Linked DNA regions of Saccharomyces cerevisiae S288C. The gene in region 1 interacts genetically with each later gene. Each region holds a gene or a part of one and is shown in the gene's direction. Other genes may lie near its edges. The genes, in order: TVP38, DIT2, POX1 and PMT6.

Region 1 (4,407 bases):
TAGGACGAATTGGGTACGAAACCTGGGAAATATGGGGAATGTAAACCTATATAGGCACTCCCATGTAGGCACCAAATATTTAATTGACGAGTATATGATGGAGTCTAGGTTAGCGCTAGAATCTTTAATGGAGTCTGATCTTGATGATAGTTACCTTTTGGGTATACTGCAACAAACGAGAAGAAATATTGGTCGTACCGCTTTAGTTCTCAGTGGGGGTGGAACTTTTGGTCTTTTCCACATCGGTGTCCTTGGTACTCTATTTGAATTGGATTTATTACCCAGAGTGATTAGTGGTAGCAGTGCTGGTGCAATTGTAGCAAGCATATTATCTGTCCATCACAAAGAAGAAATTCCGGTTTTACTAAATCATATTTTGGATAAAGAATTCAACATTTTCAAAGACGATAAACAGAAAAGTGAAAGCGAGAATTTGTTAATAAAAATATCTAGGTTCTTCAAAAACGGTACGTGGTTTGATAACAAGCATCTGGTAAATACAATGATAGAATTTTTGGGAGATTTGACATTTAGGGAAGCTTACAATAGAACGGGTAAAATTTTGAATATAACCGTTTCGCCGGCATCTTTATTTGAACAACCGCGCTTGCTGAATAATTTGACTGCACCAAACGTCCTGATTTGGTCCGCCGTATGTGCATCATGTTCACTACCGGGAATTTTCCCCTCGAGCCCACTTTACGAAAAAGATCCAAAAACGGGAGAAAGGAAACCATGGACTGGTAGTAGTTCGGTCAAATTTGTCGATGGTTCTGTGGACAATGACTTGCCCATTTCTCGTCTTTCTGAAATGTTTAATGTAGACCATATTATCGCATGCCAGGTGAATATTCACGTATTTCCCTTTTTGAAACTATCACTATCCTGTGTTGGCGGGGAAATTGAGGACGAATTTAGTGCAAGATTAAAGCAAAACTTATCAAGTATATACAATTTTATGGCCAATGAAGCTATTCATATTCTAGAAATTGGAAGTGAGATGGGAATTGCCAAAAACGCGCTTACAAAACTGAGATCGGTATTATCTCAACAATATTCTGGTGACATCACTATTTTGCCCGACATGTGTATGCTTTTTAGAATAAAGGAGCTGTTGTCAAACCCAACAAAAGAATTTTTATTAAGGGAAATCACCAATGGTGCAAAAGCTACGTGGCCCAAGGTTTCCATTATTCAAAATCACTGTGGCCAGGAATTTGCTCTGGATAAGGCGATTTCTTATATCAAAGGTAGGATGATTGTCACCTCCTCTTTAAAAACCCCCTTCCAATTTGCTGATTCAGTCATTGGATTAATTAAAGCTCCAGAGCAAACGTCAGATGAGTCCAAAAACCCAGAAAATTCAACATTGCTAACTAGGACTCCAACCAAGGGTGACAATCATATTTCCAATGTTTTAGATGACAACTTATTAGAATCAGAATCGACAAACTCTTTGCTATTGTTACGTGAGAATGCAAGCACATATGGGCGGTCACCTTCCGGGTTTAGACCGCGGTATTCCATTACGTCCGCTTCTCTCAATCCGCGTCACCAAAGAAGGAAATCAGATACTATTTCAACTTCAAGGCGACCAGCCAAATCCTTTTCATTTTCAGTTGCTTCTCCCACATCAAGGATGTTGAGGCAATCCAGCAAAATCAATGGACACCCACCGCCAATTCTGCAGAAAAAAACAAGTATGGGCCGGCTAATGTTTCCTATGGATGCCAAGACCTATGACCCGGAAAGCCATGAACTTATCCCACATTCTGCCAGCATTGAAACACCTGCCATGGTAGACAAGAAATTGCATTTTGGCCGAAAGAGTAGATACTTGAGGCATATGAACAAAAAATGGGTCAGCAGTAGCAACATATTATACACAGATTCGGATAAAGAAGACCATCCTACATTGAGACTGATAAGTAACTTCGATTCAGACGCAATGATTCATAGTGATTTAGCGGGCAATTTCAGGCGTCATAGCATTGATGGAAGACCCCCTTCTCAAGCTACAAAGAGCTCACCGTTTCGATCGAGGCCTTCTTCTTCAACGCAGCACAAAAGCACCACCAGTTTTACTCAATAAGAAAACACGGGCTTGCTTATATATCCTCTAGATATTCTTTTTCATCTATGTATTTATTCGAATGGCCTTTCTCATTCATATCATTTTCAAAGCGGAAATCGAAATCATTGTTTTCTCTCGAGCTGCACTAAGAAAAAAAGCCACTTTACTAAAACAATACCTTCAACATATTTGAAAATATTATTATGGTGGAAGAAAGATATTGGTTACACAAATGAGTCAGTCTTACGAAGCAGGAAATGCCAATATGGGCCAAGGGGAGGATGATGAATTTGATGGCTATTTCGAAGACTTTGACAACGATATCATGCCAAATAGTAATAATGGACAAAGGGTTGGTACTAATGCTGGATTGTCATTCAATGACGAAGTAAATGTTAATGATGATGATTTTTTAGACATTTATAATATGTCCCCTAGAGAGAGATTGATGCATAATATCAGGAAGAATGTTCAAAAATTACAGTTTTATTTTTATTCACTACGCTTATGGCAACAGATTATCATTGTCCTCCTCGGCATAATGCTAATGATAATGGGTATATTGTTGCTCGTCTTCCATAATGCGATTTTACATAAAGTTGTTGTTACTTCGAACGATTTGAGAGAAAAGATGTCAACACATTTTATATTAATGGTTCTGATATTCTTTGTCGCATTTCCTCCTATGATTGGCTACTCCTTATTATCCACCACTACTGGGTTGATCTATGGTGTCAGTTTTGAGGGATGGGTTACGCTAGCTTTGGGATCTGTAACAGGTTCCATTGCCTCTTTCGTTGTGTTCAAGACGATCTTGCATTCAAGAGCAGAAAAGCTTGTGCATTTGAATAGAAGATTTGAAGCATTGGCTTCAATTTTACAAGAAAACAATAGCTATTGGATTCTAGCTCTACTGAGATTATGTCCCTTCCCATATTCTTTGACTAATGGTGCCATAGCTGGTGTTTACGGTATCTCGGTACGCAACTTTTCCATTGCCAACATAATAACCACACCAAAGCTGTTCATCTATCTATTTATAGGTTCTCGTGTAAAGAGTCTCGCAGAATCTGAATCTACAGGATCTAGGGTATTTGACTTGGTAAGCATTATTATCACATTATTAATCCTAAGTCTTACAGCATGGCTCTTATACTTCAAGACTAAGAAGAGATATTTAGAACTACAAAACCGCGACCGTCAAGTGTCCACTGATCAACTACCTGAATTGTCTTTTGAGGTCTAATCCTCCGTATACGTTTATATATGTTTAGATAAGTTGGTTTTATATGGGTAACCCAAATTACTATTTCTACTTCTTTCTACGTCCGATATAAAGAACTTAAAAGACAAAAAGCAGTTTTTCGAAGCGACATCAACCAATCTAAGTTAAGGTATGGAAAGATAAAATACAAGAAATGTTACGCAACATCATCAGGTTCAAAGGATTTGGAAAAGGGACCAGTGGAGGATTTTTAAAACCTGTATCATTTCGTGTTCAGTTAACGCGATGTTACCGCTATGACAATGGTCCTTCATATCGTCGATTTAATAATGGAGAGTATTCCCAAAAATCATCGTTTAAAAGCATTCTTCTCGATAAGTCATCAAGAAAATACTTAGCTTTATTATTTGGTGGATGCTCTCTCTTTTATTATACACATTTGGATAAAGCACCGGTAAGCGATAGGTCCAGGTTCATCTGGGTATCGCGTCCATTAGAGTTAACTATCGGAAATTACACATACAAATCAATTTGGAGACAAACGCAGCAGGAAATATTACCTCCACAGCATCCGCTGTCCATCAAAATTGAGAATATTTTCATGAAAATTGTCGAAGCTGCTTATAAGGACCCTAGTGTAGACAACTCACTACTGGACGGAATCAAGTGGGAAATTCATGTGGTCAATGATCCAACTGCTTCACCAAATGCATTCGTTTTACCAGGGGGTAAGGTCTTTATATTCAGCTCTATTTTACCTATTTGTGCTAATGATGATGGGATTGCCACTGTTTTAGCACACGAATTTGCTCATCAGCTAGCAAGACACACAGCCGAAAATTTGTCGAAGGCTCCTATATATTCTCTTTTGGGTTTGGTGTTATATACTGTTACTGGAGCTCATGCTATCAACAATATACTATTGGATGGGTTTTTGCGAATGCCAGCATCAAGACAGATGGAAACCGAAGCTGATTACATTGGCCTGATGATAATGTCAAGGGCATGTTTTCAACCACAGGAGTCAATAAAAGTGTGGGAAAGAATGGCAAATTTTGAAAAGCAAATGAATAGAGGGGGTGTTGTGAATATGGAGTTTCTAAGTACA
Region 2 (4,766 bases), on another chromosome or scaffold:
AACACTGTTCGTTGGAGATTACTTTTATACCAAATTTGGGCCCGCTGTTAGTGTGCGCATGAATAGAAATTCTCAAATGATGAGGGAATATCAATTCCACTAAGTTCGAATACGCGTCATTTCTCTTAATCATGTTAAAAGCGATCATTGAAATGATTTTCTTGAATTTTTTTCTGGAATAACTTTGGAAATGTTCCAGTAGAGATAAATCTTCCATCATAAAACGTGAAAAGCCCCTATACAGATGCAATCTTGGATGTCCTTCTATTGCAATCTGCTTTCTCAAACGACCTGCATCTGTATCACAGCCTTTCATCAAAATCTGTCTCGACAAATCGGACTTAGGACAGATTTGAGTTCCTGTGTAGTGTGCAACTTCAACATCACTAACCCACTTTGGATCGAAAACTTTACTAGCTGCACCGCTAAAAAATAAATCGTTCAATCCACAAAAGCCAATGGCGTCAACACCAGGTATAGCCACTCTTTTATACAGTTCGTGCAATTTGGTCGTGTAAGTACTCACGACGTCATCATCGACCCCAATACAATCGGAGAAAACATGGCCATCACTAACTATCCAAATTTTCATACCCGGTGGATATATCTTGACAAGGTCTTGTGTGGCTTTTATTAATCTTTTCAAAGCGAGTTCTTCGCCTTTGTCAGGAACGGAACCGTACACTTTTTGCTCATTAGATGACTTACATGGAAACGCTGGCAAGATGCATTCAATTCTCAAATATCGATCGGTAAAATATCTTGAACGTTCAATAAAATAATCACGGCCACCAAAATTCCATTGATCATTAACTATTGTGTTTTTCAAATTTTTCTCAAAAAAATCTGCAAATAATTCGTGATACTTAACTTCTTTGGTTACAATTGGATGTTCACTTAGAGATAATTGAGATTGGTCTAAAATATGATATACGAACCAGTTATTGAAAGAATTTTCATTCTCAACTGTTGTAACACACCCACGAATCTGGCGTTCGTCATCGCGTGTATATTCAGAAATCTTTATTGCCACTCCTAAATTATTGGTAAATTTATTTGCTAAAGAAGCTGGCAAAATTCTTTCAGAAACCCGTCCACTTACTTCGGATTCAGAAAAGTCCAGATTGTGAATAGTGTTGATAAAGTCGAGCCATTGGTCTCCAAATTTACAATTCTGTTTTTCCTCTAAAGAGTAAAAATCGTCACATTTGTCGCTTCTGCAATACAGGGCCAGAAATTTACTATATGTAGACAAATCGGCCCCATTATGGGGAATATCAATATCTTTCAACGTATCAGTCGATGAAGAAAATGAAGAGGCAGGTGGTGATATTGACTGCTCGGAGCTTGAGGGCAAGTTGCTAGTAAATGTCATTTTTGTTAATGTCTCGACAAAGCTTTACCGAATTAGGATATTAACAAATTGTTTATTTAGTCAAGACTTTGCGGAGGAGCACAATTTATGTGAAAATTTATTTCAATATTTATACATCATTTTTGATTCTGAACCTATTTTCAGAAATTGTTTTACAACATCGTAGGGCAGGCACTATGCCCTTGCAAATTTTATGATATACTGTCCACTGAAAGCAATGCAATCAAAATTCAAATAAACTCCTGAGGGGCCAATAATATAAGGATTTTTAGCACGCGACGTCTGGGATTGAGTGCCATGTATGTAAAGACGAGCAATTACTTTATGTTCCCTTATTTGTGAGGGGTTCCTGGTTTGCTTTTTTCGATCAATTCTCCTGATATTATTGAGTAAATTAGACAAATTGTTAGGAAACAACAAATTCCGATGCTTACTTACCCCTTAAATTTTCTCATTGCTCTTCATTGAGGTTGCATACCTCACCATATTTGTCATAGAAGGTCCCTTAAGGCGCCTTTTTATTTTTTCTTGGCAAGAGAACCCTTTTATTTATGGCCAGACGCGCGTCGCAAAAAAAGGTAAACATCAATAATTTTCCTTCCAGGGACTCTCAATAAAAAGACTGTAACTTGTATTATCAAATTGAGAAGCAATTACGTATTCCACCCCTCATTACTTCCCCGATACAATTTATTTTCACTTCTTTCGATGAATGCAGTGATTTCTATCTTTCCCGAAAATTACAAGCCACGGACCACAAGAGGAATGACTGGTCATCCTGATGCGAATAGTATATTAGGTAGTGCAAAAAAATACATTAATTTTCTTGAAATATTTTCGTTTTTTCAAAATGGTATTTGATTCAGACTAAGAGAATAAATCGAAAAAAGCATTAAAAATGGAGTTGTTAAAGCTTCTGTGTTTGATTTTATTTCTTACTCTTTCCTATGTCGCCTTTGCAATCATTGTCCCACCTCTAAACTTTCCCAAAAATATACCCACCATCCCATTTTATGTAGTATTTTTACCAGTAATATTTCCCATTGATCAAACGGAGCTATACGATCTTTATATTAGGGAATCAATGGAAAAATACGGTGCTGTAAAATTTTTCTTTGGTTCACGGTGGAATATTCTCGTTTCTCGTTCTGAGTATCTAGCACAAATATTCAAAGATGAAGATACTTTTGCGAAGAGCGGTAATCAAAAGAAAATCCCATACAGTGCTCTTGCCGCTTACACAGGGGACAATGTCATTAGCGCGTATGGTGCAGTTTGGAGAAACTACAGAAATGCTGTGACAAACGGGCTCCAACATTTTGACGATGCACCTATATTCAAAAATGCAAAAATTTTATGCACTTTGATAAAAAACAGACTCCTAGAAGGACAAACTTCGATCCCTATGGGACCTTTATCCCAGAGAATGGCATTGGATAACATTTCACAGGTTGCCCTTGGATTTGATTTTGGTGCTCTAACACATGAAAAAAATGCTTTCCACGAGCATTTGATTCGTATTAAAAAGCAAATATTTCATCCATTCTTTTTAACTTTTCCATTCCTTGATGTTCTTCCTATTCCTTCAAGAAAAAAAGCCTTCAAGGATGTTGTTAGTTTTAGAGAACTTCTCGTTAAAAGAGTTCAAGATGAATTAGTCAATAATTACAAATTTGAACAAACTACTTTTGCTGCCAGTGATCTAATTCGTGCTCACAATAACGAAATAATCGACTACAAACAGTTGACCGATAATATCGTCATTATCCTTGTCGCTGGCCATGAAAACCCGCAGTTGCTATTTAATAGTTCACTCTACCTTCTAGCCAAATATTCAAATGAATGGCAAGAGAAACTCAGGAAGGAAGTAAACGGCATCACTGATCCAAAAGGCTTAGCAGATTTACCCTTATTAAATGCTTTTCTCTTCGAAGTAGTAAGAATGTATCCTCCTTTGAGCACAATTATTAATAGATGTACTACCAAAACGTGCAAGTTGGGGGCGGAAATTGTTATACCCAAGGGCGTATATGTCGGGTACAACAACTTTGGAACCTCACACGATCCCAAAACTTGGGGCACAACAGCAGATGATTTTAAACCAGAAAGATGGGGTTCAGATATCGAAACCATAAGGAAAAACTGGAGAATGGCGAAAAACAGATGTGCTGTGACTGGGTTCCATGGAGGCCGAAGAGCATGCCTAGGGGAAAAACTAGCCCTAACAGAAATGAGAATTTCTTTGGCTGAAATGTTGAAACAGTTTCGATGGAGTCTTGACCCTGAATGGGAAGAAAAATTAACTCCCGCTGGGCCTCTTTGCCCTCTTAATTTAAAGTTAAAATTTAACGAGAATATAATGGAATAAATATAAAACATGTAGAATTGTATATATACGCATATATGTATACAATCGCGACAACTTTTAGTGAAACTTCTTTGTATCCAGTGAAAATGAAAGGAACAGAACCTGACCAAAGGTCAGTAGAAAAAAAAAAAGCCTTTTATAGAAGTTCTTATCCAATCGTTGACATTTTGTCTGCTCTATTTAATGCTTCAAAAATCTGATCCCAAAAGTACTGGATATTCAAATCGAGACCAATTATTGTACCAACATCACTGTCATTTGGATATTCTTTTTCAATGATAATTTTCCCTGAGTTTTCGTTGAAAACATCATCAATGCAGGATATGTCCATTCTCTTGTAGCGAAATCCAACCGCAGACGATGGATCCCACCCATAAAATTCCAAAAGCGGCATCAAAGCTACCGGATCATGTATAGGTGGGCCCGATTCAAATCCTTGCATATCCTTGTAGGTATGAGCAAAAAATTGAAAAAGCTCCAAAAACAATTCTCGTAACTTGCTGTTATTCTTTTCGTTGTATATCATTTCGTTAACCTTGTAAGTAGCTATGGCCTTGTGAGTTAAATTTAGAGGAACTACTATACATTTGTCCTTTACATCGGGATCACGGAATATGTAATTCGCTGCGTCAGGATCAATCCAAACGTTGAATTCAGCAGAAAGATTTGGGTTACAGTTTCCTAGACCATGGAGTCCACCCCCCATAATGCTAATATATTTGACAGATTTTTTTAGGTATGGTTTACACCTAAAAACTGTTGCTAATGTGGTAAGTGCACCAGTAGACACAAAGGATATCTCTCCATTGTTAGCTAGAATCGCCTCTTCAATGGCCTCAATATACGTTTTATCAGTTCTTGCCTCAAATGTTGGCTTAGGTAGCAAAGAAGTGCCGTCTAAACCTGATATACCATGAATGTCAGGAGCATAATGAGGTTCCCTTTTCCAAGGTCTCTGTGCGCCTTTATAAACTGGAATCGCTTGTGCTTTGCCCATCGCAGTCAAAAGAGAACGGGCGTTGT
Region 3 (5,474 bases), on another chromosome or scaffold:
TTTCTATGTCGATCTGAGAAGCAGTTTCCGGATTTTGTAATAGAGATACGGCAAATTCAGAAGCTCTGTCTGGTGATGATCTAATCAAAGAAGAAATCAGCACTAAAAAGTTAGGTTGATATCCAACCTTTTGGCAGTAAGGAATAATTTTTTCAAACTGTTGTAATTCGGCAAGACAAGATATAACTTTTGCATGGGCACCTGCTCTTAAGTAGCAAGCTAGCGCTAAAGTAGTATCGAAAGGCTTAACGATGTCACCTAGTTCTTCTGAACATTCTAGTTTATCTTCCTTTAACCATTTTTCGAACAATTGTTTTCTGTCTTGTTGTAGAACTGGTCTAGCCAATTCAATTGTTTCCTCTTTATTCAATTTCCCTTTATCCAATAGTGTTGAAAAGTAAAGTAGGATAGGAGAAATGGCGCCTGGTGGTGCTTGAATGTTTTTCAACCTGTTGATGGTGTTTTGGTTCCTTAAAGAAGTGGAAGAGGCTGCAACTTTAGCTGCATTTTGATAATCGTTTTGTAACAATAAAGATTCAAACTGTTTTTGAAATAAATCATCTGCACCTGGTAAGCCACCTCTTGTAGCAACGATTAAGGCCAGTGCCACATTAGATAATTTATTCAAGATATATGGAACGATTTGAGAAGTAGAAATCTCTACTGCTAAAACTTGACCTTTTTTATTGATGCATGCAATACCGTTCTCGTGATTGTACGGAGCTGCAGTAAAAACAGATTCTGCTGTAATTCTATTAACGAATAAATTGGTACCGGTTTCCAATTCGTACAAATGGATGAAGCCATACTTGGTTAATAGGTAAATTATGCCGTATTTCTCAGACACCTGAACAGCGATTGGGAAATCATTCGTTGCATCTGGTGGAAAGAAAATATCGGTAGTTTCCTTTTGATATTGAGAAGGCAATGAAGCATCGTGATCAATCTCGATAATTCTTAATTCTCCAGCACCGGTGGTGGCATTTCTGTTACCAGTAACGAAAACTTGTACCGGGGTCGAGCCATTACCCTCTAGTAATATATTCGTAAAGATAGCAACATGACCGTCGATAGCTTGGGAGATGTTACGTTGTTTTGAGAATAATTGAATTCTACCGGCAATACGGCCATTTTCTTGTAAGATACCAACAACTGCGAACCAGTCAAGGTTTTTGTTAGCCACAAAATTGATAATTTGGGTATTGTTCAAGTTAGCGTGTCTCAAGGTAAGCAATTGAGGCTTAGCATTTACGTTACCATCAAAGACGTTCGAGGTCAGTATGGATCTTGCGGTAACAAAACCCAAAGTGGTTTCACTCAACCACCTCCAAAAAATAACAGGTTCATCTAAAGTAAAAGACTTTAACTTGCTCTTAGTTTCCAAATTAAATATCTGCACGATAGTACCATTTGCTCTAACGGAAATAACCATCTGAGATGGATGCATGATAGCAGAATCACCGCCCATATTCTTCCTTGTCACTTCATTGCCTTTGGCCAAATCCACGATTGCAACAGAGTTTGTACCGTCCTTTGTTTCTCTAACAGTGACGAAGTGGTCACTCTCGAAAGTAGTTGATCTGAAGTCAAGGAATTGAGGGGAAATTCCTAAGGACATCAGATCGACCAATTCGGTAAATTCAATGGGTAGGTCACTCATTGGTTAGAACTTTCGTGATAATTTATTTTTATAGTTGAATATCTTCTTTCTCTCTCAACTCTGATCCGGATTGTCGAGGTTTCAATAAGTTACTCTGAACAACTAATCAAAATATCTCCTTATTTCTGTAGATTCCTTCAGTTCCACTTTTTACTTTTCTTAATTCTCTTTGTATTTATTCCTAGCGACGAAAAATGCGAGATCTCGACCAAAAAAAGGGGGTAGGGTAATAAAATTAACCCTATTATTTTTTAACTTTAAAACCTATAATGTGCTAATATTTTATTATAAACCTCCTTTTTTTGCGTTCAAACCCTGACACATTTTAAGCCCTATATTTACGGTATTAGTTGATTAAACTCCGAAGCGAAAGGAATTCGGTCATTAGCGGCTAATAGCCGTTGGGGTAAATCACCTACAAGCAAGTACACAAGAGAACGTTGGCGTTGTTAAGTCAAAGCACTAATACATTGGGGCTTTAAGAGTGTTTATAAAGGTCTAACCTGTAAAAATTATTTAAACAACTTGAACAGGCCTTAAAGTTTTCCTCATTCCGCTCATCATCACTAATATTGCTCTCCGTTTTTGAATACACACTTGACACTAATAAGTATCACAGAAAAAAAGAAAATATAATAAATTAGTATTGCGATATGACGAGACGTACTACTATTAATCCCGATTCGGTGGTTCTGAATCCTCAAAAATTTATCCAGAAAGAAAGGGCGGATTCGAAAATCAAAGTTGACCAAGTTAACACATTTTTAGAGTCATCCCCGGAGAGGAGAACTCTGACGCACGCCTTAATAGACCAAATAGTGAATGATCCTATATTGAAAACTGATACGGACTATTACGATGCTAAAAAAATGCAAGAGAGAGAAATTACTGCCAAAAAAATAGCTAGGCTTGCTAGTTATATGGAGCACGATATCAAAACAGTGCGCAAACACTTTCGCGACACTGACCTGATGAAAGAGTTGCAAGCAAATGATCCAGACAAAGCTTCGCCTTTAACAAACAAAGACCTTTTTATATTCGATAAGAGATTGTCACTTGTAGCAAATATTGATCCTCAATTGGGTACGCGCGTGGGTGTACACTTGGGGCTATTTGGTAATTGTATCAAGGGCAATGGTACTGATGAGCAAATCCGGTATTGGTTGCAGGAGAGAGGTGCCACTTTGATGAAAGGTATATATGGCTGTTTTGCAATGACTGAGTTAGGACATGGTTCCAATGTTGCCCAGCTGCAGACTAGGGCTGTGTACGATAAGCAAAATGATACTTTTGTAATTGATACACCTGATCTAACTGCCACCAAATGGTGGATTGGTGGGGCTGCCCATTCTGCCACGCACGCTGCCGTGTACGCCAGATTGATCGTTGAAGGTAAAGACTACGGTGTAAAAACATTCGTTGTTCCTCTGAGAGACCCTTCGACTTTCCAACTGTTAGCTGGTGTTTCCATAGGGGATATTGGAGCGAAGATGGGTCGTGACGGTATTGATAATGGCTGGATCCAGTTCAGAAACGTAGTTATCCCTAGAGAATTTATGCTAAGTAGATTTACCAAAGTTGTCCGTTCTCCAGATGGTTCAGTCACCGTCAAAACTGAGCCACAATTGGATCAAATTTCTGGTTATAGTGCATTGTTAAGTGGTAGAGTTAACATGGTCATGGATTCATTTAGGTTTGGCTCCAAATTTGCTACTATTGCTGTACGTTACGCGGTTGGTCGTCAGCAATTCGCACCTAGAAAGGGATTGTCTGAAACACAATTAATCGACTATCCCCTTCACCAATATCGTGTTTTACCACAATTGTGTGTTCCATATTTGGTGTCACCTGTAGCTTTTAAGTTAATGGACAACTATTATTCCACTTTGGACGAGTTATACAACGCTTCCTCATCTGCATACAAAGCTGCTCTGGTTACCGTGAGTAAAAAGTTGAAGAATTTATTTATTGATAGCGCCAGCTTGAAAGCCACCAATACTTGGTTAATTGCTACACTGATTGATGAGTTGAGACAGACTTGCGGAGGACATGGGTATTCACAGTATAACGGATTTGGTAAAGGCTATGACGACTGGGTGGTTCAGTGCACATGGGAGGGTGATAATAATGTTTTATCTTTAACTTCAGCAAAATCAATATTGAAAAAATTTATCGATTCAGCCACAAAGGGTAGATTTGACAACACACTGGATGTGGACTCATTCTCTTACTTAAAACCTCAGTACATAGGATCTGTGGTTTCTGGAGAAATAAAGAGTGGTTTAAAGGAGTTGGGTGATTATACTGAAATTTGGTCTATCACCTTAATCAAATTACTGGCACATATTGGTACTTTAGTTGAAAAATCAAGAAGTATTGATAGCGTTTCTAAGCTTTTAGTCTTAGTATCCAAATTTCATGCCTTGCGCTGCATGTTGAAAACCTATTACGACAAGTTAAACTCTCGTGATTCACATATTTCCGATGAAATTACAAAGGAATCTATGTGGAATGTTTATAAGTTATTTTCCTTGTATTTTATTGACAAGCATTCCGGAGAATTCCAACAATTCAAGATCTTCACTCCTGATCAGATCTCTAAAGTTGTGCAGCCACAACTATTGGCTCTTTTGCCAATTGTGAGGAAAGACTGTATAGGTCTGACAGACTCCTTTGAATTACCTGACGCGATGTTAAATTCTCCTATAGGTTACTTTGATGGCGATATCTATCACAATTACTTCAATGAAGTTTGCCGCAATAATCCAGTGGAGGCAGATGGGGCAGGGAAGCCTTCTTATCATGCGCTGTTGAGCAGCATGCTCGGTAGAGGTTTCGAATTTGACCAAAAGTTAGGTGGTGCAGCTAATGCGGAAATTTTATCGAAAATAAACAAGTGAGTAGAGGTTTCCTGTTTTCCTTCGAACCCTCTGTTTTGCGACTTTTGTTTCAATTCAACTAGTGTCGCCAAGTTTTAACAAAAAGTTACAAAATCCTAGTGAGAGGCCATCTTATGTGCATAACGGTACTCTCTATCTATTTACATATCTAATACTATTCACATAACTATGACGAATCAATGACATGACTACATTTACCAATGTATAGTAGTAAAAAAATTGCCATCTCCTAGAATCGAACCAGGGTTTCATCGGCCACAACGATGTGTACTAACCACTATACTAAGATGGCAGGTAATTATTGAGTGTTTACTCAATATCTCAGAATTATATACATAACAAATAATAAATGTGCTGTGTTGGCACTTGTTGGAATGAAGCTCTAAAACATCATGATGATTGTGTGGATTCTGATGTAATTGTTGGGATTCCATTTTTAATAAGGCAATATGTTGGAACGAGAGTAATTAATAGTGACATGAGTTGCTATGGTAACAATCTAATGCTTACATCGTATATTAATGTACACATCGTATACGTTTAAGTGTGATTGCGCCTATTGCAGAAGGAATGTTAAACGAGAAGCTCAGACAATACTGAAGCTGTGTTAAAGACCTATTAGCTGAACATGATATGGTAGGTACATATATGAGGAATATGAGTCGTCACATCAATGTATAGTAACTACCGGAATCACTATTATATTGGTCATGATTAATATGACCAATCGGCGTGTGTTTTATATACCTCTCTTATTTAGTATAAGAAGATCAGTACTCACTTCTTCATTAATACTAATTTTTAACCTCTAATTATCAACACAATAATATTAGGTATGTAGATATACTAGAAGTTCTCCTCCAGGATTTAGGAATCCATAAAAGGGAGTCTGCAATTCTACACAATTCTATAAA
Region 4 (5,682 bases), on another chromosome or scaffold:
TGTGCTTTAGGTGTGCAAGGCATAATGTGTGGCATACTGGAAGGAACAAGTTGAACACGCCAGCTGGAAAGAAGTTCAATACCAACTTGCCCAATGCCTAACTCAAATGTTCGGATTCCTCCTACTGTTCCATCGAAGATAATAGATGTGGTCGACCAAGCGCTAAGAGCGCGACTCTTAGGTGGCAGCACCTTCAATTCAGGGTTTGATAGTTTAGATTCCGTACTTAACTTACAGTTTAGACTACATTACCATGTTATTGGATCGAATGGGCCTGCAAAACCAGTTTGTGATGTTTTACTGAAGGAAAGTCAAAATTTAGAAAAGAATATGAGTATGATGGAGGAGTTGAATGACTATCCGGAGATTACAAAACTAGTGGAGAAAATTCTGTTCAATTGCCTCGGTATTCTTTTCTTCCACAGGGGCCAATTTCAGGAATCGCAGCGGTGCTTGCTGCACTCGTTGAAAATTCATAATAACACTGCATCGCAAAAAACAGCACTTATGGAGCAGTATGATAGGTATTTGATCGTAGAAAACCTGTACTACCGTGGTCTAGTTTCGCAAGACATAAATATCATGCAAAATGTTTTTTACAAAGAACTACTGGCCCACGTGGATACGATCCCTCCCGAATCAAACGGTCTTCTTTTCGAATACATCAGCTTGATCGTCGCAAAACTCAGGTTCAATCAAATTCAGGATTTAGCAGAAAATTTTAAAACTACCGTCGAAAATCCTTTTATTCTTTTCCTTTACATGATAAAGAAGTTCCAGTCACCTCTCAAAAAGCACATTGATAATGATGATCTTTATTTGAAGTTCGGACAGAACGTTTTGTTGAAGGCCAAATTTCCTACTGCTAGTGAGACAAATGATGAAGCTTTGGAGCATTTTAATGTCTTTTTGCAGTATTATTTCAAATTCACTCACATAAAAAAAATAAAAGTGAATCCCAGTTGGTATAATTTCATAATATCTTCAATGGAAAAGACTTTTCAAAGTATTGAAGTTTCGAAAACAGCAATGTTTCTTTTCCAAAACCTAAGCGATAACAGTAATGACGAAATAAAGAAGAAGACATTTAAAAGAGAATCTATACTAAATTTTGTTAATTTTGTGAAATACAACGACAAGTACTATCAACTGCACGATAACTCCCACCGTGACATAATTTCATTCATTGATGCGTATTCTTTTATTTTACAAAACTCCTCCAAAACCGATTCAATCGAAAATGTTTTTGATTACGATAATACGGTATCTACGTTTGCGACTTCCTTGAATTCCTTCTACAAAGAATATAATTTGCCATTAATGAGCCAATCAGAATCTTTAGATTGGCTAGAAAACAGCACCAGATGTGTATACCCAGGAAACATTTCGAAAGTTCTAACAAATGCGTGGTCAACATTGTACGAAATCAGAAAATATCAGTTAGATTTTCTTGTATCTAATAATTTGACTTCATATCTATGTAATGCAATGATGCTGTCCACAAAAGAAAAAGACAATGCTGATGTAGAAGAGCAGGAAGAAGGAGAGGAGGAGAAGGCATTACGTGAATTACAATTTAAATATTCTTACACTCTAGCACAACAGAGGCACATTGAAACTGCAATCAAGACTCTAGAATCATTGATATTAAGTAAAAACCCAAATTACTACAAAGCTTGGCATCTATTAGCTCTTTGTAGGTCTGTGCAAGAGGATAAGGAAATGTCGTACAAGATAGTTTGCTCTGTTCTAGAAGCTATGAATGAAAGTCTTCAGAACAATACTTTACTTCTGAATGATAGATGGCAATTTATTCACCTAAAATTAACGCAATTGGCGCTAATTGAAGAAATTTTTGGCACTTTAGAGGCACTGGAGACACTTCCAGAGGTCTTTGAATTATACGCAACATTATTTCCAGATTCACAACCTGAATTGAACAGCATGGGTCCCAAATATTCTCAAACTAAAGAATATCTTTTACAAATGGTGTGGATTTTTGCTGCAAATATGTACATGAGAACAAAAGACAATGATGAGGATGCCAAGGCCGCCATCAAAGAAGCCTCCAATGTCGAAAGTAAATTCAAGAATTTAAATTGTAATATTGCTAACGGTTATTTATCAATAATAAAAGATGAACCAGGCGTGGCATTAAAGGAATTTGAAACAGTTCTGTACTATGATGAGAATAATTTAGATGCCTTGGTCGGATTCGCTGAATTAATTTTCCCTGAAGAACTAGGCGTCGAGGAAACTAATCTTGAGCGTTATTATACTCTCAGCCTTGATAAAAAACCAGGTAAGAGGGCCAAACTTACGTTCGTTAATGACACAGATAGGTCAGCAGCGTATGCAAGACTAAAATTTCTATTGGAGTGCGCAATACTAGAATCGATCGAGGCTTACTATTCCCCAGAAGTTTGGTGGTATTTGTCCCTCATTTACGAGAAATATCAAGATGACGAGTACAAAAACTCTTTGCTAAAATGTATTAAATACCAAGAGTTGAATCCCATTCGCTCCCTAAGGTATTGCAATTACTAACGATAATTCTTCTGATATATACACACACATATATACATATGGGCGCAAGTATATTCTGGTGTAAAGATACTCATAGAAAGCATAAAGATGTAATTCAATCTAGTTGTATTATATTATTCATTGATTTATATTAATTTGATGAACAATGGAACATCTTCTCTTCAATAACGGTTTTGCCCATATACTTGACGTTATTAGGTTACCCGTTTTTATAAATGTAATAAGTTCAATAATTTGAAAAGAGCATTAGCTATAGTCACGTTTCGCGTTGAAACAATTCTTTAAATTATCTTCTCTTGGCAGTTTAATATACCAAACGATAGTCCTAACATACTGTTTTTCTTATTATTTACCAATGAGTAAAGCCAAGGGAACGGGATTTTCATCAATTGATACTGAAGATGAAAACTTACGCGAACGTTATGTTAATCAACCAAAAGCTAATGCCTCCGATATTCAAGATGAACAATTAGATTGCTTTGAGCAACTAGAAGAAAAACATAGGACAAAAAAAAATGAAGAATACACTGCGTTGAAAATTTTAAGGGATGTCATAGGTCCCCTTTTATTAACTATAACTTCGTTTTATCTAAGATTCCAACATATAGATCAGAACAATTATGTTGTCTGGGATGAGGCTCATTTTGGGAAATTCGGATCATACTACATCAAACATGAGTACTACCACGATGTCCACCCTCCACTTGGTAAAATGCTTATTGCATTGAGCGAATGGATGGCAGGATTTGACGGTCAATTTGACTTTTCCTCTAATAATGCATATCCGGAAAACGTAAACTTTAAACTAATGAGACAATTTAATGCCACATTTGGAGCTCTATGTACACCAGTAGCTTTCTTTACAGCCAAATGGATGGGGTTCAATTATTTTACTGTTTATTTGATTGCTACGATGGTAACGTTGGAACATTCATATATTGTCCTCTCAAAATTCATATTGCTAGATTCAATGCTGCTTTTTTTCTCGATGACGACTTTTGCCTGTATGATAAAGTTGTATACGTTGAGAAAGCAACAAATGACGAAAAAATGGTCGTTATGGATGTTATTAACTGGTTTATCTATTGGTTGCGTTTGTTCTGTGAAATGGGTTGGTCTTTTTATCACAGTTGTAGTCGGCCTCTACACATGTATAGAACTATTTTTGCTCTATTGTGATAAAGAATTGCCTAGAATAAAATATTACAAACATTGGCTTATCAGAATCATTAATCTGATAGTAATTCCTTTTCTTATCTATCTCTATTGCTTCAAAATTCACTTTGTGTTGTTGTACAAATCTGGCACGGGGGATTCTACTACAAATACGTTATTTCAGATAAACTTGGAGGGAACTCAGATTGAGGCGGGTCCTCGTGATGTAGCATTTGGGTCAGAGTTAACCATAAGGTCGCATGGTTTAAGCCCGAATCTGCTGCATTCACATATTCAAGTATACCCAGAAGGCTCTGGACAGCGCCAAATCACTGGATATGGATTCGCAGACTCTAATAATGTTTGGAAGTTTGAATTTTCTAGGTCTTCTGGATTGGAACTAGATCAGAACGGGACTTTGAATGGCAAAATAATCCCAATAACGGATGGTGTGGAAGTTCGTCTCAGCCATAAAAATACAGGATCGAATCTTCACTCGCATGATGTACCTTCTCACGTCTCTAGAGGAAATTATGAGGTTTCAGGCTATGGGTCACAAAGTGTTGGCGATGAAAAGGATGATTGGATAGTGGAGATTGTGAAACAAATGGATTCACCAAATCCCGTCTATTCTAATGAGAATTCAACTATTTTACATCCAGTTTCTACTTTCTTCAGGTTGAGACACAAAGTTTTAGGTTGTTACTTGGCTTCTACTGGATTGACGTATCCAGCTTGGGGATTTAAACAAGCTGAAATCGTCTGCAAAGACTCCTGGAGTCGTAGGGACAAATCGACCTGGTGGAATGTAGAAGATCACTGGAACCACAATTTAGAAACCGCAGAAGATTACGTTCCACCAAAATCCAATTTTTGGACCGATTTTATTCTAACTAATTTTGCCATGGCCTCCTCTAATAACGCGTTAGTGCCTGATGAGGATAAATATGATAGTTTATCGTCTGATGCATGGGAATGGCCAACCTTGCATAAAGGGCTAAGAATGTGTTCATGGGCGGGATATATCACTCGATATTACTTGATGGGATCTCCCTTCAATACATGGATTTCTACTGTCTCCTTAATCATCTTCCCATTTATTATTCTTTTTATATTATATCGTTGGAGGAGACAAACGCTTTATCTCTCAGACGATCAAATCTGGCAAATAACGATACAGGGTATTTTTCCTTTCATTTCCTGGATGACACATTATCTGCCTTTTGCAATGATGGGGAGAGTGACGTATGTACATCACTACGTTCCCGCTTTATATTTTGCAATGCTTGTTTTCGGATTTGTGCTTGATTTCACTTTGACAAGAGTCCATTGGATGGTCAAATATCCCATCTATTTGTCATTGTTTGGCGGATGTATATACATTTATAATTTATTTGCTCCAATATGTCAGGGTATGCATGGTGATAAAGCGGAATACTTACCTTTGCAGTGGTTATCTACTTGGGATATCGCACCTTAGTAAAAAAAAAAAAAACTCCAACTCCTTTACACAGAATCACGAAAATTGTAAATAATAATGCCAAATAAAGGCATTAACTTATTATCCTCTTCTTTTCACATGAGAAATGATATAGATATTGCCTATTCATATGCTAATGAGTATATACGGGTGGACAAATCACTACTTCCTACACCTAAAAATAATTTACCGTTTCTCTTTAAATGTGACCACCTCAATCTTGTAATTTTGTCTGCTGGTGTTATATCCTCGTTTAGCTGCGTTATTAACTCAAACTTTCCCAAAGTATAACTGTATAAATAAATCTCACCGTTTTCAAGACCCACCGATATCAAAATTTTCTCTCTTATCATGCTGTCATGTATGGAAATAGCAGTGACAGCTTTAGTGTGTTTAATTGATGCTTCCAGAACGTAGTCATCAGCTGGCTCCTTTTGGTGCCTCCATACTTTGACAGTTTTATCCCTGGACGCGGTGACAAAAACATTACCAAACTCTAA

What was found.
Region 2: mutations in TVP38 (region 1) and DIT2 together harm fitness more than expected from each alone (negative genetic interaction), as found in Saccharomyces cerevisiae (2 studies listed by BioGRID).
Region 3: mutations in TVP38 (region 1) and POX1 together harm fitness more than expected from each alone (negative genetic interaction), as found in Saccharomyces cerevisiae (2 studies listed by BioGRID).
Region 4: mutations in TVP38 (region 1) and PMT6 together harm fitness more than expected from each alone (negative genetic interaction), as found in Saccharomyces cerevisiae (2 studies listed by BioGRID).

Annotation. Positions count from the first base shown.
Region 1 is NC_001143.9:603,318-607,724, reverse strand, and holds TVP38 (Tvp38p), read left to right. Parts: upstream 1-2,306; coding exon 2,307-3,320; downstream 3,321-4,407. Other genes in the region: TGL4 (triacylglycerol lipase), read left to right, coding at 1-2,092; OMA1 (metalloendopeptidase), read left to right, coding at 3,493-4,407. UniProt on the Saccharomyces cerevisiae protein: Golgi membrane protein involved in vesicular trafficking and spindle migration.
Region 2 is NC_001136.10:1,271,211-1,275,976, reverse strand, and holds DIT2 (putative cytochrome P450), read left to right. Parts: upstream 1-2,273; coding exon 2,274-3,743; downstream 3,744-4,766. Other genes in the region: DIT1 (Dit1p), read right to left, coding at 1-1,375; URH1 (trifunctional uridine nucleosidase/nicotinamide riboside hydrolase/nicotinic acid riboside hydrolase), read right to left, coding at 3,892-4,766. UniProt on the Saccharomyces cerevisiae protein: Involved in spore wall maturation. Thought to catalyze the oxidation of tyrosine residues in the formation of LL-dityrosine a precursor of the spore wall.
Region 3 is NC_001139.9:105,845-111,318, forward strand, and holds POX1 (acyl-CoA oxidase), read left to right. Parts: upstream 1-2,313; coding exon 2,314-4,560; downstream 4,561-5,474. Other genes in the region: CHC1 (clathrin heavy chain), read right to left, coding at 1-1,660.
Region 4 is NC_001139.9:894,600-900,281, forward strand, and holds PMT6 (dolichyl-phosphate-mannose-protein mannosyltransferase PMT6), read left to right. Parts: upstream 1-2,902; coding exon 2,903-5,182; downstream 5,183-5,682. Other genes in the region: YPP1 (Ypp1p), read left to right, coding at 94-2,547; Elongator subunit ELP2, read right to left, coding at 5,305-5,682. UniProt on the Saccharomyces cerevisiae protein: Protein O-mannosyltransferase involved in O-glycosylation which is essential for cell wall rigidity. Transfers mannose from Dol-P-mannose to Ser or Thr residues on proteins.